Danio rerio: one gene and its partners. The protein of the gene in region 1 interacts with the protein of each later gene in a biochemical or structural test. Links are inferred from orthologs where the notes say so. Each region holds a gene or a part of one and is shown in the gene's direction. Other genes may lie near its edges.

Evidence for each region.
Region 2: the proteins of rab6a (region 1) and ocrl form a complex in vitro, tested with the Homo sapiens proteins (2 studies listed by BioGRID and IntAct, with this or other methods). The link is inferred for Danio rerio from reciprocal best matches to the Homo sapiens genes RAB6A and OCRL.
Region 3: the proteins of rab6a (region 1) and kif20a form a complex in vitro, tested with the Homo sapiens proteins (2 studies listed by BioGRID). The link is inferred for Danio rerio from reciprocal best matches to the Homo sapiens genes RAB6A and KIF20A.
Region 4: the proteins of rab6a (region 1) and bicd1a form a complex in vitro, tested with the Homo sapiens proteins (3 studies listed by BioGRID). The link is inferred for Danio rerio from reciprocal best matches to the Homo sapiens genes RAB6A and BICD1.

The regions. Positions count from the first base shown.
Region 1 is NC_133185.1:41,754,849-41,762,402, forward strand, and holds part of rab6a (ras-related protein Rab-6A), read left to right. Parts: intron 1-2,312; coding exon 2,313-2,371; intron 2,372-2,468; coding exon 2,469-2,522; intron 2,523-5,401; coding exon 5,402-5,507; intron 5,508-5,640; coding exon of another isoform or gene 5,641-5,746; intron 5,747-7,554. UniProt on the Homo sapiens protein: The small GTPases Rab are key regulators of intracellular membrane trafficking, from the formation of transport vesicles to their fusion with membranes.
Region 2 is NC_133189.1:38,418,711-38,426,264, reverse strand, and holds part of ocrl (inositol polyphosphate 5-phosphatase OCRL), read left to right. Parts: intron 1-1,424; coding exon 1,425-1,571; intron 1,572-1,688; coding exon 1,689-1,917; intron 1,918-1,999; coding exon 2,000-2,158; intron 2,159-2,710; coding exon 2,711-2,812; intron 2,813-6,464; coding exon 6,465-6,579; intron 6,580-6,677; coding exon 6,678-6,794; intron 6,795-7,000; coding exon 7,001-7,182; intron 7,183-7,288; coding exon 7,289-7,400; intron 7,401-7,554. UniProt on the Homo sapiens protein: Catalyzes the hydrolysis of the 5-position phosphate of phosphatidylinositol 4,5-bisphosphate (PtdIns(4,5)P2) and phosphatidylinositol-3,4,5-bisphosphate (PtdIns(3,4,5)P3), with the greatest catalytic activity towards PtdIns(4,5)P2.
Region 3 is NC_133196.1:38,602,544-38,610,097, reverse strand, and holds part of kif20a (kinesin-like protein KIF20A), read left to right. Parts: coding exon 1-75; intron 76-1,923; coding exon 1,924-2,073; intron 2,074-4,286; coding exon 4,287-4,426; intron 4,427-4,536; coding exon 4,537-4,639; intron 4,640-7,554. UniProt on the Homo sapiens protein: Mitotic kinesin required for chromosome passenger complex (CPC)-mediated cytokinesis. Following phosphorylation by PLK1, involved in recruitment of PLK1 to the central spindle. Interacts with guanosine triphosphate (GTP)-bound forms of RAB6A and RAB6B.
Region 4 is NC_133193.1:13,402,715-13,410,709, forward strand, and holds the start of bicd1a (protein bicaudal D homolog 1), read left to right. Parts: upstream 1-3,652; 5' UTR 3,653-3,969; coding exon 3,970-4,185; exon of another isoform or gene 4,186-4,236; intron 4,237-7,995. UniProt on the Homo sapiens protein: Regulates coat complex coatomer protein I (COPI)-independent Golgi-endoplasmic reticulum transport by recruiting the dynein-dynactin motor complex.

The DNA.
Region 1 (7,554 bases):
AAAGCATAATTCTGATTAAAATAAATAAATGGAAATAGATTAAAAAGTAATTAAGTATGAATAAATGTATACGTGTTTAATAATAAGTAGAATTGTTTTTATAATGCACCAACATATGTAAAAATAATTCATAAAGTAAATGATTCATTAATAATTGATATAAAATATTTAAATATATATTTTTTACATTATTAGAACCTAATATATAGAAGATACTAAATACTGGATCAATGCCTGTTCAGATTTTACAACGTTACAATTGTAAACACTTAAGTCCCTTTTTAAACTGCATTTCGTATTCATTTCACAGTGTATTTTTGTCTCTCTCTGCTGTGTTAACATGATATTCTCAAGTTTGACTGAGAGCTTTTGTTGGTGACGTGCTGAGATTTTCTGTATCGTTTAACCACTGAACACTCATATTTCAAACTTGTGAGCACATGCACGCGTTCATAAGTGATAAAACACCAACAATGCCTATTAAATACTGCTTAAGTCTGAATATAAGAGCTACTCCCCTTTCTGAAATATCTGTCCCACACAGTGTTTCACTGGACACCAATTTCACAAGTCATTGGGCAAGAATTCAAAAGTACATCTGCAGCATAAAGCATAAACAAAGATTATGTGGCATTATTTTGTAAACATCTTTCAGACTAGACTTCTGAGGCTTTATGCTTGAGGCTTTTCTGAAATTTGAATAGGAAAATAAACATTGCAAACTGTTTGCATATTTACAGACACCATTGCATGTGTTGTTCATGGTCTCCTTTTAGATAAATCTATCACGTGTCATGAGAAGAGTCTGATGTAAATAAGATTTGAATGCACAGAAAATTTTGATAGTTTCGATAGATATTGAAAGATTAAATTTTAGACTAAATTTTAGACTAAATGTTGATAGTTTTGATAGATATCTTGCAATGTCAATGTTTTTTCCAATATTGTGCAGCCCTAATATTAGGTAATGTTATTTTTTTCTGTTATTACCTCTAGTAGTGTGCTAAAACCGTAGGCAGTTACATCCACGTTTTATTAAATGGAGTTAATAATAATAACCAGTTATAACTAAAATTAACATTTAGTGTAATACATCTAGCTTTTTCTCACTGTTGATTTTAACGCATTAAGGTTTACCAGTGAGACTTCTGTAAAGTGTTAGCTATTGTACTTTATAGTCCTTGTGCAATTTAATTTGGTTGAAACATTTGTGTACTCTGATTATGTATATACATTATGTGTTTATTGTTATTATTATTACTGCTAAAGTATTTTTCAGCTTAGGTCAACATTGTGATAATACCGTATATAGTCAGAAAACTACAGCAAGTAATTTCAGCCACTGCACGATATTGGAAGAATCTGTTCCTGCGATTTATTTTATTTTTCTGCAATTAAATTTTGCAATATAAATACAGTTTTCTTTGACAGTTTGAATAGTTTGAGGGTTTTCTGAGGAGTCTAACAGTTAATTAAATATAGTAATCACTATAGGGGCTACATGATATTGGAAAAAACTGGCGTCGCAATATTTTATATTCCTGCAATGTTGAGTATAAGTTTAACAGATGAAATGAGTAGCTCTATTTGGATAGAATTAATCCATTTAGGATAGTTTAGGATGAAAATAGGATGATTTTGTTGTGGCGTGCAGTGATAGATGCTGTAAATAATTTAAATAAATGCTTCATTGTTTTTCTGAGACTCTAACAGTGTTCAGGTACACAAGTTAAATATGTAAAATAAATATCACTTGATTTGTTGTGAGAATTACAAAATTTTTTATAGCATATATATAATTTAATAATCTTTCCTGAAGTTAATTAACTTTAAACCATCTTGAAATGCGTTCACAGTTACATCTTTAAAACACATGCAAATTAGATGTTTTTTGGTAACTTTATGAACTCTAAAGAAGAATTAAGTCCAGATTGATAGTTTTTACTTAAAACAAGCCAAATTATCTGCCAGTAGGTGAATTAAAATACTCTAATGTTTGCTTTGAAATGTAGATATTTAGGCAAGAAACACAACAAAAATTCAAAGAAAAAAAATAACACTTTATATTTTTTGCATAAATCGTATATATTCTGTATAAATACAGCAATTAAATGTATTTGTGTAGCTCCTGGTGAACTATAATTCAGACTGAACATTGCACATCTTGTGATGTGTCTTTTGTGGATGCGCACTTTGGGATATCAATGCTGTATTGATATATTGTGCAGCCCTAATCGCAACGATCAAATTTGATACCGGCAGAAGCCTAATCTAATGTTTTAGTAGTAACATGATCATTTTTGATTTTGCAGTGGGAAAGACGTCGTTGATTACCAGATTTATGTACGACAGTTTCGATAACACCTACCAGGTAAGTGATGTTGTTTGTTCTCAACTTTAAATGTTTCTGATCAGTTGTGTGGTTTGGCGTGCTTCATCTCTAATGTTTTGTTGCTTTTAATTTTCAGGCCACGATAGGAATTGATTTCTTGTCGAAAACCATGTATCTTGAGGACAGAACAGTAAGTAATTTATTTTTCACTCTAATAGAAAATGCATATGGCTTTAACTGTTTAAAATATACTAAATGCATGAAATTATCATAGAGATATTAAGAAATGACTGAGGGATTTGATAATCTTTTTGTAAATTAAAGTGAATTTGTTTATTTAATGGAATTGATATTTTCTTTTCTCGTTCTTCAGAACATTATTTGTATATAATATTATATGTTAAGTTTCTTTGATTTCTGCCACACTCTCTGAAATGGTTTTAAAGTTGTAAGTGATAAATAATTGTTTCAGTGCATTGTGTTTTAGATGTATAGTAATTAGGGATGTGCAATCGTAAAAAAAGTCTATTGTTTCATATTATTATGCTCTTGTTTATTTTGTGGTGTCACAATGTACATTTCTTATGTTAATACTTTTTTCATAGTTCATATAAACACAATATTACAAGTCAGAAACATAAAAAAAATCTTGAAAGTACAATGTTTACATTTTGCATTTTATTTAGCGATGATGTTGATTTTATTTATTTGCTTTTTACGTTGAACTTTTTATCATTCGTTTTTGAAAAGTGTTTATTTTATTGTTATTTAATTTTTTTAAAGTTCTAAATAAAGCTAGAAATATGATCACATATGAACGAGTGATTTTTCTATCATGCTTTATAATGTAAATCAAAATAATATTACATGCGGTTTAAATATAAACTATTAATTAATTACATTGACAGAAATGGTACTGAATTTGAGATGATTTATTTTGTGATATAAGACTATTGTCATATATATCCCAAACACGATGTCTGGGAGATAAACTCGTATATCTAGAGTCACTTGAGAAGTTTTCACCGCTTTACTTAAGAAAAATCTGCTGTCAGATACTAGCTGATATTGAAAGATGAAAAATGATCAAATAAAAGATTATTTAAAATAGCATATAAATGTTTCATTCATTGTTTTCTTTGAATGTTAAATGTTGTTTTAAACCTTTGATATTTGGAAATGTCTATAAAAGTCAAAGATGAAGTGCGCAAAGAGAAACTCCTGTGCCTTTCTCCACCTGTTGTGTCCATTGCCCCAGCCTCTTTCTCTTTTCTCTTTCACTCTCTAGTTATTTGTTCATACATGTTTGTTTCCTTTTATAAAGAATTTCTCTCATTTAATTTTTTTTTATTTTGTATAATTATGTTTTATTCAGAAGATCTGCTGTCCTGATAATATGGCCAAACCCTGGCCCATACCTTAACCCTACTAACATTTGAATACTTTACTAACAATAGACTTAAAGGGTTAGTTCACCCACTCTTTAATCACTCTGGAGCTGTTTTACCACAATATGCATGCTCAGAAAAACCATAAAAAGGTAATTTATAAAAAGGTCTCTTGCTTATGGCTGTTTTATACAATGGCTGCAACTAGATCTGCAATAAAAGTATAGTTCACCCAAAAATAAAAATACTCACTCTCCACTTGACCAATCCTGTTTGAGTTTACAAATGCAGATAAAAAAACACAAATTGATTTCCATAGTATTTTTTGTTCTTACTATATATGTCAATGACAGCTTTTCCCAACATTTATCAGTATATCTTATTTTATGTTCAACAGAATTTTTGTGGAAGTTTTGTTCATGCCATATTTAAAATTAATGATGATAATTCATATATAATTATATAGTTTGTTAAGTCTGTGGCACTAGTAAAGCAGTTATCAATACTAAAGGAAGAAATGTTATTAGACCTTTAGAGAAAAAAAAAATGATGCTTTACTTTTGACTTAAACCCATACCTAATAAAACCAATAAAGTGAATGGTTTTACCAATCCTTTGGCCCTTTTTTGTAAATAATTTTCAAATATACAGTTGAAGTAAATATTATTAGCTTTCCTTTTAAAAAATATTTAACAAATGATGTTTAAAAGAGCAAGGATTTTTTTACAGTATTACCTATTATGTTTTTTTATTGAGAAAGTCTTCAGCTATAGTAAAAGCTGTTTTACATAAAATAAGACATTTTAAGGTCAATATTATTAGCCCCCTAAAGCAATATTTTTTTCAATTGTCTACCCTGAGCACGCTTGCGTCATCAATGATGCAATTGTTCGGTTAGGACAAGAAGCGCTCTTGCTCAGTACAATGGAGATGGCTTTAATTGTATTGTTTTGTATTCATTTAAGTCAGTGACGCAGTCAATTATTTTGCTGAACAGATCCACAACTTTTGACGCTCATAAATGTTCATGAAAGTCATCATGCTGCAGGTATTAGGAGGTTTGCTGAAGGTGTAGCTGACGTGCCGTGAGGGGTTTGTAACTTTAGTAAATTAGGACAGTAGTTCTTGTTCATTGAAAAGTAAGATTGATTAGTAAATCCATATGAAACAGCCTCTAAAAGTGACGTTGCGTCTTCAGTTTCGGGCTCAGGCGCACTTTTAGTACACTACTAGCGTACCTTGCCAAAGCCCAACCGATCTGCACTTTAAGCTGAATACTAGTATCTTGAAAATATCTAGTAAAATATTATTTACTTCATTTATTAAAACTATCATGTTTAAAAATGTGTGACAAAATATTTTCATTAAGCAGAAATTTTGTAAAAAAATATACAGGGGGGGGGGCTAATTTTTCTGTAGGGCTAATAATTCTGACTTCAACTGCATATCTTTTGTAGTCAGTAAAAGGAGGACTGAATTTACATTGACGGGTGAACTACCGCCAGCATTTAACAGTCTCAAATACATTGTCCATTTTGCTTTCACCCATTCCTTGCATTTTTATTTTCTATTCTGTTTTTTTCTTCCTATACATCATCTTTTCCTTTTAAACATTTAATTTCCTCCTTTTTTTCCTTTTTACTCTGGTTCCTTTTCTTTTGTTTGTTCTCCATTCACACAGATCAGGCTGCAGCTTTGGGACACAGCAGGACAGGAGCGTTTCCGTAGCCTCATTCCCAGTTACATCCGAGATTCAGCCGCTGCTGTTGTAGTTTACGACATCACAAGTAGGTATCAGAGACTCAGTGTGCGTCCAGTTCCCCTCCTCTTACCTCTTCCTCTTCCCCTTTCTCCCCATCTCTCTCTCTCTCTCTCTCTCTCTCTCTCTGCTGCATCTCTGGTGCTAAAATGTTTGGTCAGGTGCGGCTGCAGCTTTGGGACACAGCAGGACAGGAGCGTTTCCGCAGTCTGATTCCCAGCTACATCCGGGACTCGACGGTTGCTGTTGTAGTCTATGACATCACAAGTGAGTGTGGATCCTCGGCGGGAGATCTTGAGGAAGAGGAAAGATGTCTGTCATCTCAACGCAGTCTCTCCTTTTCTGTCTCTCATTCTATTTGTTTTGTTTGTTTGTGATTCCATCTTTCTTGTCTTATGTTTGTGGGACTTGTTGTTTTTTCTTTGCTTTGCAGTTTGGTGCTAAAGTGGAGCGCTAGACACCTTTGTTTTGTTTCGTATTTGAGCTTACATGTTAACAGATCTTCATTAGTTAATAAAAGGGACATAATAGTCGTTTTTATGAAGATGAATTTAAAAACAAGCTAAACACAGCGGAATGACCAATAAAAATATTAAAGAGCAGTATATTTTTGCAGTTGTGATCAGTGTTAAGGGTGACGGATTACCCGCTTCGAATGTTATCACTCGATTGAATGGCCGTTATCAGTGGTTATCATATCAGCTAATGGATATGAACTAGTAGGCTCAGAAGGCTGTTATCATCCATCAACATGGTTAATCAGCTATACTTATAGAGAAGACTCAAGATCTGTTTCTACATTACTGTGATTGTTGGGGTAGGAGTAGACGTTAATAAAATACAATTAATAGGAAATTTGTTAAATAATATTAATAATTCTTGTGGTTAATCGGCTTTACTAATAGAGGAGACTCCATATCTGTTTTTTACAACACTGTGATGGTTGGGTTTGGGTAGATGTTCATAAAATACAATTAATGTGAAATTTTAAAATTAATATAAATTATTCTCGTTAACTTCCGGCTGAAGCCATATGTGATCTACTGCTGACTAACCATGTGGATGGATAACAGCCTTCTGAGCCTATCAGTGGGTTCAGACAGCCCCTACTGACCTATATCTATTAGCTGATAACCACTAATAATGCCCCTTCAAATGAGTGATAACATTCAAAATGGCTAAACAAATTCTAAGTTACATAATAATATTACTTTTCTAAGTAAAGTAATGGATTACTTTTAAAAATTAGGTAATAATATTTGAGTTTCTTTACATTTTAACAAAATCCAAGTTACTTTTTATTTTTATTACTTTGCTTTTAAAAAAAGATAATTGTTGAATTAAAATGAACAGTCAGAATGTGCTCGGCACAGACAGAAACCAAGATGATTCTGGCTTACATTTCTGGGATAGAAGTGTTTTCATTATTTTTAACACTTGGAAGAATATGAAAAGGGGATTATCTCAATGGACAGTGACTTTTACTTCACAAATAAAACAAAAAGTACAAAAGTAGCAAACACATTTCTTTAAACTTGCATTAATCTGTATATACGGCATGTATAGCACTGCGGTCAGGAAATTCTTAGAAGATAACATTATCATACGATATTATTTTTGATGTGTTTTTTTTTTAAAGGTAAACGAAGGTTATGCAGTGTATTGTTAATAGTTTCTCCATTTAAAAAAAAAAGAAAAAAACTGAAAGAGATCAAGCCTCAGCCATGCAAGAAATATTTACTCAAAAGTAATGTAATGCATTACTTACCATAAAAAAGAAACTAAGTGACGCAACTACTTTTTATTGGAGTTATTCAATGCTGTGCTTTCAAAAGTAAATTTCCTCAACACTGGTTGTGATCAAAAGTAGAAATATACACTTCTTACAAATACCAAACATTTTTTGTGTTTTTTTTATAATTGCTTGAAATATTAAATGATATGTTTCTGTTATGTGTTCACATAATTCATTTGTAAATGGCCAAAAGGAATTTAAAGGCCATGCAAGTTATTACTTATTTTGGGAAAGGGAAATGCCAAGTCCGGGTAGAGACGCAATTACATGCAAACCATTA
Region 2 (7,554 bases), on another chromosome or scaffold:
CAAAGCTTAGTCTCCCTGCTGTAGGAGTTCTCCAGTTTGTTGCCACTGAATGTAGCCTTAGGTTGTCCCTTATGTTGCCTATTGCCTTAGGCTCCCTTTTATATATTTGTCTGAAGTCTAGTCGATTAAAGATCAGGGCAATTGTAAAAATAGTATATTATGAAATTTTCTCATCTGGTTTATTTTGACAGATTTTTTTTTTTTTAAAGCAGAAATAGAACTCTGGATATTTATACTCTGATTGAAGCCCAAAGTATGATTGTGCATCGACATAATTGTGTGACGCATAAACACTAGAAAATCCAATTTCAATGGCTTTTCTTTTTTCTTCAAAGGTTAAAAGTCATGAAGTCTGCTTATTTAAAACTTGTGGGTTTTTTTACCGTATTTGCTCATGCAGTTTTGTCCATGTTTTTTTCCACTGTGAAGCATCAGCCTGGTGATGTGTTGACCCCCTGTGGAAAAAAAAAATGTAAAATAGGATATATAAAGCACATTAAGTATGCACGTAATGTTCACTCACTTGCACTGTTTACATACCCTACCTTATGCTAAAAAACTGAAGCATATTTAAGACCAGAGTGCGAATTACAGGGGGGTTTGGGATGGATTGATCCCCCTAATTAACGCTTGATCCCCCCTGAAGGATGTCGAAACAAGATGTAGTTTTGTAGTTTAACCTACAGTAACATCTGAAATGGCTCATCAGAGAATATTGTAACATACCTGCCAACACTCCCGTTTTTCTCATGATTCTCAAGTGTTTCAGATTCATCTCCTGCCACCCTCCCGTTTTGTTATTTCTCCCGGAAAACTCCCATATCTTCATCCAAACTTCCCCGCCAAGGATAGAAAAGATACCTCAGCTTTTTTGTACCTTCTGTGAAACCCCCTCGTCACCAACTTTGGTATAGGATATAATCGCAGCGACTGCTTAAAACACGCTTCATAGTACAGTTACTAACACCAACAGTGTTATTCAGACACCTCAACCTCGAACCTAACCCCCTCGTCTCCCGGATTTTCAGGGACAAATGTTGGCAGGTATGCTTTAAGTCAGATTACAAACTTAAATGCGTTTTATTAATAAACTAGATGCAACTAAAAATAAATACATAAACGACTGAAGCATGTATTACACAAACTAACCAAAACAGTTGACCCCCCCTGATCATCAATTTATAATTCACACACTGCTTAAGACTTTAGGTGTACAGATTTGGCTCATCAAAAATGTAATAATGCTGGAACAGACATTTTCATGTACTGTTAACTCTAATAAATTCTTGCTGGCCATACCAACTAACTGTCATTGAGTTTAAAAGCATGTTTTATCTGTTAAATGCATATAAAAGGCTCTTCTCAATTGGTTTAATGCATCAAGTCAGATCTGAAACATTAATGTTGAATTGGTCCACCTTTAGCTGAGAGGAGTTCACTGCCCAGGAAGATGGAGCCAGTTGTACCTGCTCCAGTTAAAGACTGTGTTCCAGTTCCACCTCAGAGAGGAACCTCCAAATCCTTCTCAAACAACATCAACAACAGCACTTTAGCAAATCCCTCAAACACAGGTATAAAAATGGCATACATAATGCAAGAACATTACAATATTTGCATTGGTTTACAGGGACATACATATATCACAGTAGTTGCTTGTGGAAACTCAGTGACCCTTTCTGTACCTGCAGATTCCACCCGCTCGCTTGCCACAGATTTTGGCTTTGAAGAAAACTTTAACCACGTTTTAAAAGTGGAAGAGAAGAAGAACAAGCAGAATCGTTTAGTTGCACAACGAGAGCCACCACCTCCACCAATTCCCCCTCTTCCTCCTAGGAAAGGCACAAATACATCATTGACAGGCCCAGCTACCAAAGAAAGGCCACCATCTGTACAAAATGCCACACCTGTCAGAAATGAGTAAGTGCTACTGGTCTTAAATGCAGAAACTTATGGATTTTCAGAAACTGTTTTTAAAATGTTGTGCTCCTTGTCATTGCAGATTTCAGTCTGTAGACCGATCTGTTTCCTGGTCTGAAAGCCCGTCCAACTCCACCATAAGACAGGCCATGATGAGCAGCCATGCAGGGTCAAGAGAAGGTTTGCTCAAGTATCGCCTCAGCAAGAAAGAGAAAGAATATGTGGACATTAAGAACTTTAAGTGAGTGTCAGTTTTCCATGTGCATTTTGTCAGTAAAGTCAGCTCTTGTAAACATCCAGCATATGGAGTTGAAGCAGCATTTACTACACAGAGTTGTTTTTTTTGACTAAGGATGCAAAATAGCATTTAAAGTTGAAATCTGCATATCTGGATGAAAATGATATTGAAATAATCGCTCTGTGATAATAGCAGCAGTTTGCATCGCTTGTCAGTGAACTACGGCTCTGTGTAGTTATTGCTGCAAATGAAAACACCACGTGACAGTGTTTCTACCTCCAATTGATTTCATAAATTCAGTTAAGTGTTTAAACTAAAATTTTCCTGTTTGTTGGTCATGTTGAATCAATGAAAGTATTTAAATTCTATGTTTATAGTCAAATGCTATGAAGTTTTACTGGATTTCTTTTTTTTGTGGGCCCTCTGGCCTTTGGAGCAGATTTACTACTGATGATAGAACTTTTAGGATTATCACCCAGGTCTACTGTAAACTTAACATCAGTGATTTTGTTTTGACCGCTTTAAGGTGATTGATTAAATCCCTCTATTTGACAGGTTCTTCGTAGGCACGTGGAATGTAAATGGTCAGTCCCCTGACAGCAGTCTTGGGCCCTGGCTCAGTTCTGACCCAGACCCTCCTGACGTCTATGCACTAGGGTGAGTGTCACATCATGAACTGAGAACACTGTTATACCCAGAATTCCATGCGAATTGTGTCATCTTTAAATAGGAAATTGTTATTATTTGCAATTTTGTAGCATTTTTACTTGCCCTCCACTTTTTTCCAAACTTACAGAAGTTTATTTTCTACTGTTAAACAGAAAAAAATACTGCTGTATGTATATGTAAGAAAAAAAACATGCCATCATTACATTCATACATACATATCACTATGCACATACATAATTACCTATATATACATCACATAAACTTTAGAAGTAAAATAAAGAAAAGAAAAAAATAAGAAGAAAAAGGGAAAAGAAAAAAGTAACAACAAAAGTAAAAAAGTATAAAATTAACACGTTTAACAAGCCAAACATATGAGATTGTTTTATATCTTCCAATTAAAATTCACTTAAATGTGGTTGTCTTTATATTGCCTATATATCAACCATTTTTTTTCCAACCCTTCCTGAAAATATCTGTTTTCATCCTCAACATAAATGTCAGTTCTTCCATTATGTTATCAAAAAGTTGGTTGTTCGTTATGAGTTTCATTGTAGTTTTTACTACAATAGAAGTTATTGGGTAACATCAGCTGTCTGGTTACAATAATTCTTGTAAGCATAAGTTATTTTGTGTTCAGCAGAAGAAGGAAATCATACAGGTTTGGAACAAGTGAATGGTAAATGATGACAGAATTTGTATTTCATCCTTGTAATGTATTTTATTCATAATTAGGGATGCACCAATATGTATTTTTGACCCAATTTCTTTAGATTTGGAGGCAGATAACCGATATATATATGATCATTATCTACAGACCTCCAAAATATTCTCCAGCTTTTATTGAGGATTTTACAGAGCTGTTATCAATTGTAACCTCTGAATTTGATTATTTTAGTATTGCTGGGGATTTTAATATTCACATTGATAATCCAGAAATCAATGCTGTAAAAGAACTGATGACTGTTTTTAACACTTTTGATCTGACTCAGCATGTTCAAGGACCCACACACAATCGTGGACACACTCTTGATCTACTTATAACTAAGGGTTTACACATTTCATCGACTGTTGTTAAGGATGTGGCACTATCTGATCATTTCTGTATCTTTTTTGATATATTGATCACTCCAGCTATTAAAGACAGATCTGTCTCTGTCAGAAAGAGATGCATAAATGAGAACACCAGTGAGCAGTTTATGAAGGCCATATCGCTAGCACCAAGTATATCTGCAGATTCTGTTGATTCTCTCCTTGATTTGTTCAACTTTAAAATTGAGAATGTCATAAATGACATCGCTCCTGTTAAAGTCAAGAAGCTGACTGGCAGGCAAAAGGGATCTTGGACAAGGTCACCGAGAGTACAAATGATGAAAAGACAGTGCAGAAAAGCTGAGCGTATGTGGAGAAAGACGAAACTAGTAGTCCATTATAATATCTATAAAGACAGTCTTCATGCCTTTAATATGGAACTAAACACTGCTAGACAGACTTTCTTTTCAAGCCTTATAAACAGCAACTTAAATAATACTCGCACACTCTTTGCAACGATAGAGAGACTCACAAACCCCCCCAGTCGGATTCCAAGTGAGCTACTCTCTGAAAGCAAATGTAATGAGTTTGCTCATTTCTTCACTGATAAGATTAATAATATCAGAAAGGCAATCAGCTCATCCAATCAGTCAAGTTGTGTCGATATCAAACAAGCTCAACCACAACTTGAGAAGTCAGACATTATGTCTGATTTCATGGCAATTAACGGCAAAATCTTAGAAGAAATTATGCAAGTTATGAAAACATCAACCTGCAGTCTTGACACGCTCCCCACATCATTCTTCAAATCGGTGTTTACCTGTTTAGAAATGGATCTTCTAAAAGTGGTAAATGCTTCACTTCTCTCAGGGATTTTTCCAACCTCACTTAAAACTGCAGTTGTTAAACCCCTCTTGAAGAAGAGCAACCTGGATAACACCCTATTGAGCAATTACAGGCCAATCTCAAATCTCCCTTTCATTGGTAAAATCATTGAAAAAGTTGTTTTTAACCAGGTTAACAAGTTCTTAAACTTCAGGGGGTGTTTAGACAATTTTCAATCTGGTTTCAGAGCACATCACAGTACAGAGAGCGCTCTTATAAAGATAATCAATGATATACGCCTAAATACAGATTCAGGTAAAATAACAGTGCTGGTATTGTTGGATCTCAGTGCTGCATTTGACACTGTCGATCACAGCATACTTCTGGATAGGCTGGAAAACTGGGTTGGGCTGTCTGGCACGGTCCTCAAATGGTTTAGATCTTATCTTGAAGGTAGAGGTTACCATGTCAGTATAGGTGACCATAGGTCGAGGTGGACACCCATGACGTGTGGAGTCCCACAAGGCTCGATTCTGGCTCCTCTCCTGTTCAACCTTTACATGCTCCCTCTGAGCCAAATAATGAGAAAGAACCAAATCTCCTACCACAGCTATGCTGATGACACTCAGATCTACCTAGCCTTACTGCCTAATGACTACAGCCCCATTGACACCCTCTGCCAATGCATTGATGAAATGAGCAATTGGATGTGCCAAAACTTTCTTCAGTTAAACAAAGAGAAAACTGAAATGATTGTGTTTGGGAACAGAGATAAGGTTCTCAAAGTAAATGCGTACCTTGGCACTAAAGGTCAAACGACAAAAAATAAGGTCAAGAATCTTGGTGTGACTCTTGAGTCAGATCTGAGTTTCAACAGTCATGTCAAAGCAGTCAGTAAATCAGCATACTATCATCTCAAAAATATTGCAAGAATCAGATGCTTTGTTTCTAGTGAAGATTTAGAAAAACTTGTTTATGCTTTTATCAGCAGCAGGGTGGATTACTGTAATGGACTCCTCACTGGTCTTCCTAAAAAGACAGTCAGACAGTTAAAGCTCATCCAGAATGCTGCAGCCAGAATTCTAACAAGAACCAGAAAATCAGAACACATCACACCTGTCCTCAGGTCTTTACACTGGCTGCCAGTTACATTCAGAATAGATTTTAAAGTATTATTACTGGTCTATAAATCACTAAATGGCCTAGGACCTAAATACATTACAGATATGCTCACGGAATACAAACCTAACAGATCACTCAGATCATTAGGATCATATAAACTAGAAGTTCCAAGAGTTCAGTCAAAGCAGGGTGAATCGGCTTTTAGCCACTATGCCCCTCGCTGCTGTAATCAGCTTTCAGAAATGATCAGATGTGCTCCAACATTAGGCACATTCAAATCAAGACTGAAAACACATCTGTTTAGCTGTGCCTTTACTGAATGAGCACTGTGCTGCATCCGACAGATTGCACTATCATGTTTTTCTCTTCTTCTTCATTCTTTTATATCACATTTTACCTGTTTTTATGTTTTAAGTTCGACCCCCGCATGCACAAGGCAGGCAGTTCTGTACAATTACATAATCTATCGGCTTTAAGATATCGGCCTAATTTTGAAATAGGATCGATAACAATATCATTAAAAATAGAATTTATTGGCTTATAATGATGTCGTCGCCGATATATTGTGCATCCCCTTTCATAATAAATAATTGTGCGCTATACATTGTGTATTGTAAGTTTGTCTGTTATAGTGCTTTATTCAGCTTATTCTGTCATTTGTCAGATTTCAGGAGCTGGACCTGAGCACAGAGGCGTTTTTCTATATGGACTCATCCAAAGAACAGTTATGGGTTGATGCAGTAGAGAGAGGCCTCCATCAAAAAGCCAGATACATTCAGGTGATCAGTGAATACCAACTGAAATGTCCTGCTTGTAATCATTTGGTGGCCAAAGAAAGTGGTAAACATTTGCTGAACACCCTGCATGCTGTCTTCAGGTTCGTATTATCCGCCTAGTGGGCATGATGTTGGTGGTGTATATCAAAAAGGAGCACAAAGATCAAATTCGAGAGATCGCTTCTGAGTCTGTGGGAACTGGCCTCATGAATAAAATGGTATGTTTAGATTTGTTACAATAGGAAGTGGTTTGTTAAGAGGAAGTCTCCATTGTTATATTTGTATTAGATATGATATAATTTATGTTATCGCTTACACAATTGAGATGAAATGACCACAAATGAAAAAATACATGCCTTAAATGAGTGTATCAGTGTCAGTTACCTGATCAGATTAACCCACATTTATTACTCTGTGACTATAGGGGAACAAGGGAGGAGTGGCAGTGCGCTTTGTGTTTCACAATACCAGCTTCTGCTTCGTAAACTCTCACTTGGCAGCTCATGTGGATGACTTTGAGCGGCGAAACCAGGACTACAAAGACATCTGTGCACGCATGAGTTTCCACCTGCTGGAATACCCGCCTGTCAGTATAGTGAAACATGAGTGAGTGTCAAGATTCCAGTCATTCATCGGTTGCTCATTATATGAGGACAAAACTTTTAATGGACTTAAAATAAATTTGTTAAATGCTTACACTTTCTCCTCCAAGTGTGGTGATTTGGCTTGGAGATCTCAACTACAGGCTATGCTTGCCTGATGCTGGGGAGGTAAAAAGGCTTATTGCTGAAAAAGAGCTACGGAGACTACAGGAATATGACCAGGTGAGACCATTTATGTTCTCAGGCATATAACTTTTGCATGTTTTTTTTTCTCGTGTTTATTGCTTTATAGTATAAGTCTAAGGTGTTTATTTTTCTTTTTACAAAATATGGTATTAATATTTAAAATTAAACCGTTTTGTTTTAGTTATGCACC
Region 3 (7,554 bases), on another chromosome or scaffold:
GTGAACATCAACCCCTGTGCCTCCACCTATGATGAGACACTCCAAGCACTCAAATTCTCTGCTATTGCCACACAGGTGAAAATACTCTTCATTTTTCTATAAATATGTTTCAATTTCCTTCCATGACAGCTAACTATAGGGTTTGTATAAGTGCTGCCAATATTTGAAAAATCTTAAATCATAATTAATTGTTTTCAAAATTAGACTTTTGGGTAAAGTGCTCAAATGTTATTGTTGCTATTATTGGGTTTGGGGCAAACATGCCATTAAAATTTTTCTTGGTTACTTTGAAATGGCATTTGATATAATGTAGTATGGAGTATGCATATGTATGTTAGGCATGGGATGATAACCGGTTTGAAGGTTTACTGTAGGGCTAGGTGATATTGGAACAAAAAAAAAAATCACTTTATCTTTTATCACTGTCTTTTATCATTAGATATCGATAATTATTGAACATTTTTTAAAATAAATTTAGGAATATTAGGAATTTTTGTTATTTAACGACTTCATTTTAATTGACCAACATTACTAAAGCAAATAGTTTTAATAGTCAAAAGCAAAATTGTTTAAACAAAATGCTTAATCTCTTTATAATAAAATAGACTCTTAAACTAGATAAAATGTTACAAAGTGTGTGCAATAGTAAAGTACAAATACTGAACAATCAAAGAAAACTTATAGTGTGAATAATAATCATACAGTAAGCCTCAAACTTTGTCAAAAACACAAATTATGATGATCAAATCTGAGCTTTCAAGTAAAGGAACCAACCATCATTATTGTTGTGAAGTTGAATAACTATATTACCCCAATGCAAAAAAATCTTTAAGATGGGGAGCTAGTGCTTGGATTCACAAGAAAAGAAACCAAAAAGCCATTCTGGCGACATCCTATTTTATTTACAATCTTTTCACTGCGGTTATATGGCACTCATTTTCGCATGTGTTGTTATTCTGACCTGAAGGGACAAGCGCGTGTGCGTGGATTCCTTGACCATTTACTATGGACTTTAATGGTGTTCGGTCAATAAATATCGATACTGATATTTATCGCCTAGCCCTAGTTAACCACGATTTGGAAAAGTTAACATTTCCTGTTATACCGTTCATATGGTATATGTGTTTTTTTTTACAGTTATTTTATTTAGTTTTTTTAACATGGTTCAGCAAACATTTGAATACAAATCGCTTTACATACCAGCATCCAAGCATGCTATCGACCTGAACAGTGCAGGGGCTTACTTTATATTCAAAGAAAAGAAAGATATCTAAAGATACCTTTTCAAATTGTAAAGAAATCGCAATACTGTAAAATCGTGGTATTTTTGTCCAGTTTCATACTGGTTCATGCTATCAGGATCTTCAGGTTTGTGCGGGTTCTTAAAGTCTTAAATTTCAAAAAACAAATTTTAGGTCTTAAAAGGTCTTAAATGCATTAAACTATTGTGTTGTAGGTCTTAAATCATTTTAAATGGGTCTTAATTTTCCTATGTGAACGTAAAGCTATACCCAATTAGGCCAACATCCATACAATCACTAGCAATATATTTCTGAAAAAGTTTTAAGAAACGCTTATTTATTAATTCTATTTACTTATTATTATGGTTTAAATATCTTCCTTACAATAGCGTGTTTTTAATGTGTTTTTTTTTTAAGGTTTTAAATTGGCCATTTAAAAAATCTTTAGCTTTTAGCCTTGTGGAAGTCTGAAATTTCAATCATGGTCTTAAAAAGTTTTAAATTTGACTTTATAAAACCTGTAGAAACCCTATACCAGCCCATGGATGCCTAATGGATGTAAATATGTCGTTTGCCATACTTGTACAGTAAAATGCACCTGGAAAGTGCTTAAGTTAAACTTTTTTTAAAAAATGTGTCACTCTGAAACTATATCTGAACACAAATTTTTTTATTCTTTCAGCTGGTGCATGGCCCGTGCAGTAAGACACGTGTTGCATACATTCTGTCCCTGCTCCGTGAGCAGCCAACTCATCCCAACGACACCACTTTACTAGAGGAGGATGAGGAGGAGAGTGATGAGGAAGGAGACATCACCATGTTTGATCCTGAGGTAAACCCAGTTAAATTCAGTTGTAGTAGTTCAAATCACTCTTAATCCTCATTAGCAGTTTCAAACAATTTCCAAAAGTTATTATTCTTCACTGGATTTGTGAGGAGGGATGAGATGTGGTTTCAGTGTACACAGTCAGGTCCAAAAATATTGGTCACAGTATTTCGACACAGTTCCAACATTATGGTGCTATACACCAACACAATGGATTTTAAACAAGATGTACTTTAACTGCAGACTGTCAGCTTTAATTTGAGGGTATTTGAATCCAAATCAGGTGTACGCTGTAGGAATTACAACAGTTTGCTTATGTGCCTCCCACTTGTTAAGGGTCCAAAAGTAATTGGCTTCTTAGCTGTTCCATGGCCAAGTGTGTGTTGTTCCCTCCCAATGACAATGAGCAGATAAAAGGTCCAGAATTAATTTAAAGTGTGCTATTTGCATTTGCAATCTGTTACTGTCAACTCTTAAGATGAGATGCAAAGAGCTGTCATTATCAGTCAAGTCCTCAAAAACGGGAAGGCCAGATTAGAGTTCTAAAAAAGCCTTCACAGTTCTGGAACAACATCCTATAGACGGATGAGACTAAAGGCCCGTGGACACAAAGGCGTTTTTTTCTTGCGGTTTTCGTCAACATTTAGTGCCTCTTGACTAAATAAAGGAAGTCAATGTGATCGTGCACACCAACACTCAAAATGCTAGACGCCAAAGCGTCATTTAAAAAAAACAGCTCATGCTCGTTTTTTTGTTTTGACTTCTCCACCAATCAGATTGGCACTTTTTTGGAGCTGCTGAAGTAACAGTAAACAGCACTTGGAGGCTGCAAATGCAAAACTGTCAATGCAAGCACACTTTGAAGAAGATCAACAGAGGCAATATGAACGTGGAGCTGCTTATTGCTCTGTGAACAATAATCATTTCTTCATCGCTGGAGCTGCTACTTGAACCATCCATGCTTGTTTGAGTCACCAGTAAATTCAACAACAAGCATGTGGACTTCCTCTCTTCCTCTTCTTCTGTGTTATAAGCGAGGTGTCAGAAGCTTAAAGTTGTATAGTGCCAGCTAATGTCAAGAAGTGATTTTAGCATACTCTTCTGCTTGAAGCCACAAGACACGAGCGTCCTGGTGTGTACCAGCCTTAAGATTAACTTGTACCAGAGTGATGAGAAGAGTATGGAGAAGGAAAGGACCTGCTCATGATCCTAAGCAGTGAAGCATGTTGGTGGTAGTGACATGGCATGGGCATTCATGGCTTCTAATGGAGCTGGTTCTCTTGTATTTATTGATAACGTGACAGCTGACAAAAGCAGCAGGATCAGAACTCATTGGATGGCGCTTTACAGAACAGATGGATGATGACTGCAAAACCAACCAAAGAGTTTTTGAAGGGAAAGAAGTGGAATGTTATGCAATGGCCAAGTCAATCCCCTAACCTGAATGCGCTTTGAGCATGCATTTCACTTGCTGAAGATGAAACTAAAGGGAAAATGCCCTAAAAACAAGCAGAAACCAAAGACAGTTGCTGTAGAGGCCTGGTAGAGCACTACCTGGAATGAAACTCAGGGTCTGGTGATGTCTTTGCATTCCAGACCTCAGCCTGTAACTGGCTGCAAAGGATTTGCAACCAAGTATTAAGTGAAAAGGTTAATTTATGATTATTATCCTGTCCAATTACTTTTGGTCCCTTAACAAGTGGGAGGCACATATGCAAACTGTTGTAATTCCTACAGCCTACAGCGTTGACTTGATTTGGATGTAAATACCCTCAAATTAAAGCTGACAGTCAGCAGTTAAAATACATCTTGTCTGCAGTTAAATCACATATCTTGTTGATTTTATTACAAATCCATTGTGTTGGTGTATAGAGCCAAAAATTTTAGAATTATGTCCCAATATTTATGGACCTGACTATATATAGCCATATGATAATTTTTTTTGTGCTCAAACACGCATGTAGAAAGCCATTACGATGTTATTTTCATTTATGAGAGTAGCTGGGTTTTTATTGCCTTGTGTTAATACAATATAGGTGATTGAAATGTATAAGATGTATAAGATACAAACCACAGTTTCATAGGGGACCTTTGACAACAACAATTTCTTTTTTCCATGTAAAAGTCTCAGAGGAGATGTATGAAAAGTGTGGAGATCTGTCTTCAACTCTAGCAATAGTGAGTTTTGTAGTTCATCTAAATTTTTGAATGTTGAACAGGCACTGCTGAAGGCCATTGATGTTCTAAAGCGTGAGGTGCTGCGCCAACGGCAAGAAAAAGAGGAACTGGAGGCCAAGGTTCGAGAGGAGGTCTGCACTGAGATGATGGAGGTTATCAGCCGCATGCAGGATGACTTCAGGTGCTTCATTAAGTGCTTAAATGAGGAAAAAATTATATTAAGAGCAAATGCATATGTACTGTCATAATAAATAGCTGATGCAGTTTTTAAATGTCTGTTTTGCTGTACAGTGAGACCCTGGAGAGCGAGAGGGATCTGATGGAGAAGAGATGTGAGAACAAAATTAACAACTTGAAGAGCAGCTTGAAGAAATATTACAGCCAAGAGCTAGAGGTCAGTGAAGGGAGAAAGTACAAAACCCTTATTTGTGAATCTGACTAACTGAACTAAAACTGTTTACGCCTGGTATCCATGAGGGCTGCACAATATCAAAGTCCCTTTAAGGCAAGTCATTTCACTCAGGGGCCATCTTTAAAATGCCTCTTGGGCATTATGCACAGGCATTCTGTCTGAATGCATAAGCAATAAATTCTTCAAAACTGTTAGCCAAGCTTATGATTACATTACATATTTGGAATCACCAATTAGAATAAACAATAACCGTCTCGTAAGTTTCATTTCTAAACGTCTGAATCAAACAAAATGCACACTCAAAAGGAACAAAATCACGGCACCAATCTCATTTATGGCCGTTCTACTTGTTATCATCCTCTGGATAATGATCGTCTGATCGCGCTGCTCTTCTGAAGTAATCCACAACTTAAAAGCTTAATAGCGAATCTTCTCCAGAAATGACAGCAACTCTTTGTTTACAAATTTGTGGGCATTTGAGAACTTGCTGCTGTCATGTGATGTGCGTTTGACAGGACGGACTGTACCTCGCGTTAGTTTCGTAAGGACTACAAAACCAAAAATCTTTGCACTTCATTCATTTAAACCAAGTATTCGCTGAGATTACACTGTGTTTGTTGACCACCAAACTAAAAATAGCACACATCTGGTCTGAGCTTCTCCCCAGGAGAAACGTCAGTCTATAGTGATCGATGATTGTCTCCTGTACTAGTAGGCGGTGCTTTATTTACCATATTGACCATTACACCTTTTACCATTCAAAACTATAATAGACATGTCTTGTGTGTTCTATAGTCTTTGACTATATATCGATATCGCAATGTGAATCTGCAATAGTCAAATGCAGTTTCATAAATTTCAAATGAATTGAAACCATTTGGCCACAAAAAATTATACAGATTGCCACTTTAGTAAAGATTAATCGTGTTTATTTATACAACAAATACAGTGTTATTTCACATTTGATCATTGGATTTATATACTGTTGGACTGTTGGGAGATTGTTTTCATCTGTGCTTTAATTTATTATGTATTTATTTTTGATAATCTTGAACATTTTATGCAGATCTATACCCATAAGAAATCATCCCAGTCAATGTAAAATTCTGAAATCTTTCCATGTAGTCATCTTATGAAGCTATATTTATGCCATAATGTAAATCGCAGAAAAACTAAATATTGCATTTTTTTCCAAAATCGTGCAGCCCTAGTTATAGGCATCCTTTTCATCGGATTAATTACTGTCATGGGTGAGGCAGTGGCGCAGTAGGTAGTGCTGTCGCCTCACAGCAAGAAGGTCGCTGATTCGAACCTCGGCTCAGTTGTCGTTTCTGTGTGGAGTTTGCATGTTCTCCCTGCCTTCGCGTGGGTTTCCTCCGGGTGCTCCGGTTTCCCCCACAGTCCAAAGACATGCGGTACAGGTGAAGTGGGTAGGCTAAATTGACTGTAGAGTGTGTGTGAATGTGTGTGTGGATGTTTCCCAGAGATGGGTTACGGCTGGAAGGGCATCTGCTGCGAAAAACTTGCTGGATAAGTTGGCGGTTCATTCCGCTGTGGCGACCCTGGATTAATAAAGGGACTAAGCCGACAAGAAAATTAATGAATGAATAATTAGTCATTTGTTTAGTTTGAAGTCTCTTCTGGTAGGGTTATTATAGTAACAATTAATTGTCTATAATTAAATCAGCAAAAGCTAGATCATCAATGGAGTATACAATTTTTAGGCTGACAAAACTTACAGCAGACAGAACGTCTGGCATGTGTGTTTATGTACAGTCATTGGCCACTTTATTAGGTACACCTGTCCAACTGCATGTTGACACACATTTCTAATCAGCCAAACAGCAGCAACTCAGTGCATTTAGGCATGGAGACATGGTCAAGACGATCTGCTGTAGTTCAAACTGAGCATCTGAATGGGGAAGAAAGGTGACTGAACATGGCATGGTTGTTGACAAGACAGGCTGGTCTGAGTATTTCAGAAACTGCTGATCTATTAGGATTTTCACACACAACCATCTCTTTAGGGTTTAGAGAGAATGGTCAGAAAAAGAAAATTTATACAGTAAGTGGCAGTTCTGTGGATGCAAACGCCTTGTTGATGTCAGACTGGTTTGAGTTGATAGAAAGGCAACAGTAACTCAAATAATCACTCGTTACAACTGAGGTATGCAAAAGAGCATCTCTGAATGAACAACACCTTGAACCTTGAAGCAGATGGGCTACAGCAGCAGAAGACCAAACCGGGTGCCACTCCTGTCATCTAAGAACAGGAAACTGGGGCTACAATTTGCAGAGGCTCACCAAATTTGGACAGTAGAAGATTGAAAAAACTTTGCCTGGTCTGATGAGTCTCGATTTCTGCTGCGACATTCGGATGGTAGGGTCAGAATTTGACATCAACAACATGAAAGCATAGATCCATCCAGTCTTGTATCAATGGTTCAGGCTGATGGTAGTGGTGTAATGGTGTGGGGGATATTTTTTTGGAACACTTTGGACCCATTAGTACCAATTGCGAATCGTGTCAAGGCCACAGCCTACCTGAGTATTGTTGCTGACCATGTCCATCCCTTTATGGCAATCATCTGATGGCTACTTCCAGCAGGATAACGCGTCATGTCGTAAAGCGTAAATCATCTCAGACTGGTTTCTCGAACATGACAACAAGTTCACTTTACTCAAATGTCCTCCACAGTCACAAGATCTCAATCCAAAAGAGCACCGCTGTTTTGTGGTGGAATGGGAGATTTGCATCATGAATGTGCAGCCGACAAATCTGCAGCAACAGCTGGATGATATCATGTCAATATGGAGCAAAATCTGAGGAATATTTCCAGTATCTTGTTGAATCTATGCCATGAAGGATCAAGGCAGTTCTGAAGGCAAAACGGGGT
Region 4 (7,995 bases), on another chromosome or scaffold:
TATAAAATAACAATGTGTGAACTTTTTCTTTACTTGAACTATTTTCTTTTCTTTTAACAAGCAGCCCCTTTCTTTCTTGTCTATTTCATTTAATATACTTTATTAGATATACTGTAGTATAATATTAAACATGTTTAACATTCCTGTAGAGCTCTCCAAACTAGGGCCTTGCAGGTCGTCTCATATACTACACATATCACATGTCTCCCATTTCGCAGATTTATCTGAGATAGTGACAGGACAAACCTAATCATCCAATCATTCTCTCATCAGACCAACCCAATAGCCTGCTACTACTTTTAGAGATACAATTTCTCTCATCAGATCATTGGAAAATATGAAGAAATGTCTTTTACTTACCTTGGCGCACATTCCTCAGATGAAATGGATCTCACTGTCCTATCCAGTAGTTAATGATTGTGAAAGTCGAGGAAGTTGTTCAGATAAAGCGAACATGATCTTTCACCCTTTTTGCACTGCTCATTTTTAAGGATGTGCTTGATTTCCTGGCCAATCAAATTATTGTTTCAAGTGCTGAAACCAGCTGGCAAACGTCACAGTCTGGGAAAAAAACAAAAATGCAATCACATGCAGGCTGGTGAAGAGCTGGCATTCAGAAACAAAGTGTGTCATGAGGTCTTTTTCTCAGACTCTTCACAATTTCCTCCATGTAATTTACTTAGATATGCCTTATTCAAGTGCTGTCACGTTCAGAATTACTGTACATCCAGTCCAGTAATTATAAATAATGTTGATTATTGACATTTATCTTACTTTTATATATCAGTGTTTTGCTTTACTGGCTGTGGATCTACATTGGTTTACACTGTTAGGGTAAACACAGTTAGAGCCATGAGATTGATATTTAGACTAGCCTCAAGGCTAATTTTAGCGGCCTTGATTGTTTTCTGGGTGTTACTGATTACAAATTGCACAATGAAAATTGTAGTTAACAGTTATCTTTTAGATGACTAATTTTACACTGTAAAATTAAAGTTTTATTAACATTTTTAATAGTTTAAAAAAATAATACATTGTCTGGAATTGTGTTGTATATTGCAGTGCATAACCTTGTAATAAACTGCCACTACATTTTTTGTTGTTTTAGAATCAGAATCAGAAAGAGCTTTATGTTCACACATACAGTTAATGTACAGTTATTAGCTCCCCTGTTTATTTTTCCCCCAATTTCTGTTTAAGGGAGAGTTTTTTTCAACACAGTTCAATTGTTTTAATATCTAATTTCTAATAACTGATTTATTTTATCTTTGCCATGATGACAGTAAATAGTATTTGACTAGATATTTTTCAAGACACTTCTATACAGCTTAAAGTGACATTTAAAGGCTTAACTAGGTTAATTAGGTTAACTAGGCAGGTTAGGGTAATTACGCAGTTATTGTATAATGATGGTTTGTTTTCTAGCCTATCGGAAAAGTAATAGCTTAAAGAGGCCAATAATATTGACCTTAAAAGGTTTTTTTTAAACTAAAAGCTGCTTTTATTTTAGCTGAAATAAAACAAATACGACTTTTTCCAAAAGAAAAAAATAAATATTATCAGCCATATTGTGAAAATTTCCTTACTCTGTTAAAGATCATTTGGGAAATATTTAAAAAAGAAAAAAAATGCAAAGGGGGGCTAATAATTCTGACTTCAACTGTACAAAGAAATTGTTTTCGTGACAGCTTCTACAGTGCAATAGACTTACAGAGACTGGACAAAAACAGATAAAAATTATATTTTAAAAATAGAAGTAAGTTGTGAATGCAAATATACAATTTGACAAGTGTACAGGTGTATTACTATATACAGTGTTATATGTGCAGCTGTTACGTGCAAATTGGCAAGTTGTTAAATAAATAAGTGTAGAAAAAAGTAGTGATGTTTGTTTTACAATTATAATAAGGTGTTCATGGGATGGATTGCCTATTACAGACTTACTTCCCTATTTCTTATGCATTATATTATTTCAAACTGCTGATATGTCAATAATAGTCACTTTGTTAAACTAGGGTTGAATTTTTAACATCAAAAGTCAACAGAGCAGAGATCAACGTCCCATGATGTAAAACACTGAAAACACTTGTGAATCACAAAATGCAGAAATTGTTAATCAATAGATTTTTTACAGTGTAGGTAAGGATTATGACTACTTTTGGATTACTTTTAGATTACTTTTATTTAGATTTTTTGATTGTAACAGGTTTTAATGGCCTTTGTGCGCTGTAAAAAAAAAAAAGTAGACTCAGCTCAAAATTGTAGGGCAGCTGGCTGCAAAGATTTTTTGAGTTGACTCAACTTTCAACCCAAATACTGCACTAGACTTGATTTAAGTTGAGTAAACTCAAAAATATCCTGAAACTGGTTGCCTTAAATTTTTAAGTTAAGTCAACTTTTTTAGTGTGCAGAGAGAGAGACAGAAAACATAAATATAAATATATTTACAATTAATATAATTTTTTAATATAAATTTTAATATAATTTTTATTTGCCTGCATGCCAATTGACCAAAATATTGTTAAATTATTATAATATTAAATTAAAAAGTGGATTCAAGTAAATATCTTTGGTCAAATGAGTTGACTGGGAAAGATTTTTGGGAATCCCTGCATCACATAAACATACTGTATTACATCAACACATACTGATGTAGATTATTAGTAAACAATAAAACTGCGTTTACGTGGTCAATGCCTTTTGGGTTTTAAATAATTTAGTGATCTATATATTTACAAATGTATTTTCCAACATTTACATTTTTGTTTCATAAGCATAAATGTTGTCTCATAATTGCAAATTAATTCATGTTGCCATTTTGCATTGAAGAATTAAAAGATAAATGATACTTGAATTTTTAGAAAATAATTATTTTTTATTTTCTGTCATTGTGTGAATATTTCTTTAAATATGTAGACCATAATATGTTTAATCTGATTCTGTGCATTTTAATACGTATTATAATCTAATTAAAATTAGTTATTTAATCTGGTTATAGTAATGAATATCACATGTTATTAGTTATTACTGCTCAGAGTAAATGTTTACGTTTTACAATCTTTTCCACGCGTTTTGACCAAGAATTTGCTTGACTTTTTTTCACTTATTCTGGAGTATTGAACATCATCATCTGATCACTCTTTAAAATAATACACAATACAACATGTTAGTCGTTTAAGCAGATCTGGATTTGGGATGATTTTCAGAATCTAAATGTAATAGTCCAACTAGCCTGCTTCTCTTTGAACATGTAATTTGCGGCCTTGTCCAGCAAGTGGCGCAATATTATTTAACATCTTGCATGTTACAACATAATAGCGTTTAAGTGGTTATCCATAATCAGAACAGATAACATTTTGTGCATCATTAAAGATTTAGGAAGCTTGAGCATGTTATGCCATTTATTTCAAGGATCAACAGTAGGCCTATTTGCTCTCTTTTGCTTTACTGACTAAATTTGTCGTTTACAATAATAATTTTTCATATAACTAAATAAAATTGACTTCACTATTAATCACTTTTGTTTAACTATGCATAGACTTACACTACATAAAATACACACCAATAATGCAATATAAATAATGCAAACGATGCGGGACGGGGGGAGGCAGTGAGTGACGTCACATGTGATAGACAGAATCAACTTCTGCTCACTTGGCATTCCGGGTAGATGGCGCCGGTTTTCCTCATAACATTTGAAGTTAGAAATTAGAATAAAAAAATATAAATGTAGGCCTATTTGATGGAATAAACAATATTGCGGTTTATCACAGCATCGTCTACCATGAAGAAATCGAGTCCAGCCCATGTGTCTCTGGTGTAAACATCATTTCAGCGTCGGCAAACAGGAGGCGCATCGGGTGGACGGACTGCAGCATCTCCACCTGAATCTCTCCATCAGCCTCCGCCTTTCGGAGAGTCACGGGAACGGAGGACGCGGAGATCATACCCGACCGGAGACCGCAGGCGATGGCAGCCGGTGGAGGATGCGGGGAATCGGTGGATCAGTACCGGAGCGAGGTGGAAAGGCTGACCCGAGAGCTCGCAGAGGCAAACCGGGAGAAGATCCGGGCTGCGGAATGCGGTCTGGTGGTCCTGGAGGAAAACCAGAAGCTCAAACATCAGTACGCCGAGCTCGAGATCGAGCAGGAGGCTTTAAAACAGGAGCTAGAGCAGCTTCAGGAGGTAAACACAGCTCGGATACTTTCATATGTTGACATGTCAATAATTCAAGATGTAGGCTGTATAGTAGTTTCACCACATATTTGCTAAATTTAGTGGCTTTGCATCAGAAATCTTTATATTATTTATATATTATTTATATATATATATATATATATATATATATATATATATATATATATATATATATATATATATAGTTGAAGTCAGAATTATTAGCCTCTGTATATTTTATACACATGCTAATTTTTATTTAACGGAGACAAGATTTTTTTTTCAACTTATTTCTAAATATAATAGTTTTAATAGCTATTTTCTAATAACTGATTTCTTTTACATTTGCCATGATGAAAGTAGGCCTACATAATATTTTACTGGATATTTTTTCAAGATAGCATATTCAGCTAAGAGAGCAATTTAAAGACTTAACTAGGTTAATTATCTGAGTTAGGGTAATTGGGCAAGTCGTTGTTGACAGTTGAAAGCAAATTGCTTAAAGGGGCTAATAATATTGACCTTAAAACGTTTTTAGAAAATTAAAAACTGCTTTTAATTTTCCCGAAGTAAAACAATTAAGACTTTCTACTGAAGAAAAAAATATTTATAGGAAATAGTGTGAAAGAAATTCTTGCTCTGTTAAAAATAATTTTGGAAATATAAAAAAATTCACAGAAGGGCTAACAATTTAGACTTCTGTATATGGATCAGATGCAAAAACTTCTAAGTGCCATATGAAATGTTATTGTAAAATGTAAAAATATATATTTAAAAAAATCTCTTATGTGATTTAGTCTAAATAGTTTTACTTTTATTTCGATAGGTTAGTTTTATTGTCTTTAAAGTGAAATGTGAGAAAACTTTTCATTTTTTGAAACTTCATATGGCACGTATTTGTTTTTTTTTTTTTGTGGAAAGGGGGGGGGGTGCATTATATTTATAAAGTATGTGATTTTAAATTTATTAATGAGGTTGTTCAATTTTAGACTCCTTCAGGTGAGGAATGATTCTTGTGTCAGGTTTATGAAGAATCTTTTGTGTGTCAGGAAGTTTTCTGGGCATTTGGCCCATTACAGTTCATTCCTGCTGGGAAATGTTGTCTTCTCTCTGAGTCTGAATGTCAATAAGATGTTCACTCATGGCATACATGTATCATCATTATGTCTGTTTATCTGATTGTGGGTTCTATCTATCTATCTATCTATCTATCTATCTATCTATCTATCTATCTATCTATCTATCTATCTATCTATCTATCTATCTATCTATCTATCTATCTATCTATCTGTCTGTCTGTCTGTCTGTCTGTCTGTCTGTCTGTCTGTCTGTCTGTCTGTCTGCCTGCCTGTCTCTTTCTGTCTGTCTGTCTGTCTGTCTGTCTGTCTGTCTGTCTGTCTGTCTGTCTGTCTGTCTGTCTGTCTGTCTGTCTATCTATCTATCTATCTATCTATCTATCTATCTATCTATCTATCTATCTATCTATCTATATGTCTGTCTGTCTGTCTGTCTGTCTATCTATCTATCTGACCCATATATAAAGCTCAGTGATTTAGAAGTGTTGCTAGATGATGATATGATTTTTTTGATATAAACAAATTTTTAACAAAAAAAAAAATTTAAATCAGCATAAGCCCATGCTTTGTAATTGTTGAGTTTTGTGACATCCTAAATGATAAGCGTAATGAGCAAATAAAGCACACAGTAACCATCCAAAGTGGACACCCATTACTGGTTTAATACTGTTTTCGATCGACCACAATGTAACATATCTAGGACAAATGGACTCTTTTAGAGGGGTGAAATGATGAACAGATAAGGATGAAAGGAGAGAGGAACAGGGAAACGGAGACAAATAGTGATGGAACGGGATACTTCTGCAGTCATCTAGAAACTGGTTGCACAGCACAAGGTGCCTTATTTATGCTTTAAATGTGATTGTTAGTACAATTACAGAATGTTGGGGATCCATGTTGAATTGTTAAATCATAGTTAAACAGAAATAATAGTCATGGTGTCTTGAGAAAGCCAAGATACTATTACATAAACTACTACTACTTCTTCTGAGACCAATTTCCATAGACCATTTCAATGTGATGATGTCATTGGCAAATGAACATTTCATAACTGCAAGAGGCAAGTCAATAATAACTTATTGTTAAAACAGCTATCATAACATTACTATCAATATGTGGCTCTTTTTGGACTCTCTGAAGCTATAGAAATTAAATGTAAAACAGATAATACATTGGGACCATTGTTTTTGTTTACATGCCTCAAAATGGTCTATATGCATATCTACTAAACCATTTAAGCTACAAAAACTAACCTCTAAACCTCAAAACTGGTCTGACTCTTTTCCAACTGATCTGACTCAGAAAATTTGAAAAAGTCCTATTGGCTTAACAATGGACCAAACTTTCTGACCTCATACTGTAACTTTTCGCCAGACTGTCATACGAACTTAAGGCTGGGCTTATTTAACTCAGACTACCAATCTGCCAGTCATTAGTGAACTTTCAACTTACTAGCCACACCCTACAAAGCCGCACCCTATAGGAACTATCCCATAGACTTCCATTGTAAAAAAAAAAAAAAACTGCCATTGACTTTACATTGGACATGCTAACAACTTACCAATTCTTCACTAGATACTAGAAATATACTAACAAACATGTTAAAAATATACTAATCCATACTGAAAAAAATACTAACAACATTCATTCATTCATTTTCTTGTTGGCTTAGTCCCTTTATCAATCCGGGGTCGCCACAGCGGAATAAACCGCCAACTTATCCAGCAAGTTTTTACGTAGCGGACGCCCTTCCAGCCACAACCCATCTCTGGGAAACATCCACACACACATTCACACACACACTCATGAACTACGGACAATTTAGCCTACCCAATTCACCTGTACCGCATGTCTATGGACTGTGGGGAAAACCGGAGCACCCGGAGGAAACCCATGCGAAGGCAGGGAGAACATGCAAACTCCACACAGAAACGCCAACTGAGCCGAAGTTCGAACCAGCAACCTTCTTGCTGTGAGGCGACAACTGTCCTGTGCCACTGCCTTGCCTACTAACAACATATCCATACTAAAAACATACTAAAAACATGATAATCATGCTATAAACATTAGTGCTTGATTGTATATGATTTTGCATCTTGACAACAATTGAAGCAGAATATTTTTTTTATTTATTCTTTTAGTTATGTTATGTTTATGTGGTCTTTATTGTTGTCAGTAAAATTAATTTTCCAACTGATCCGACTTACAATTTTCCAAAAACTGACCCAGCAAATTTGGAAAAGTCCCATTGACTTAACATTGGACCAAACTTTGTGACCTCATAACCGTTCACCAGACTGTCATACAGACTTAAAGCTGGGCTCATTTAACTCAGACTACCAATCTGCCAATTACTGATGAGTTTTCAACTTACTAGCCACACCCTAGCAACCATTTACGGCACTCTAGCAACTGTCCCATAGACTTCCATTGTAAAAAAAACTGCCATTGACTTTACATTAGACATACTAACAATTCAGACTAGCAATATACTTTGAAAATGGACTAATCCATACTAGAAATATACTAACAAACATACTAAAAATATACTAATCCATACTAGAAACATACTAACCACATATCCATACTACTAACAAACATACTAATCATATAATAAACATTAGTGCTTACAGTATATGTGAATTTGCACCATGAGCACAGTTAAAGCAGAATAATCTGACTTTTTGACCTAATGTTTATGGGGTCTTTATTGTTGTCAGTGAAACTCATTTTTGGATGATGT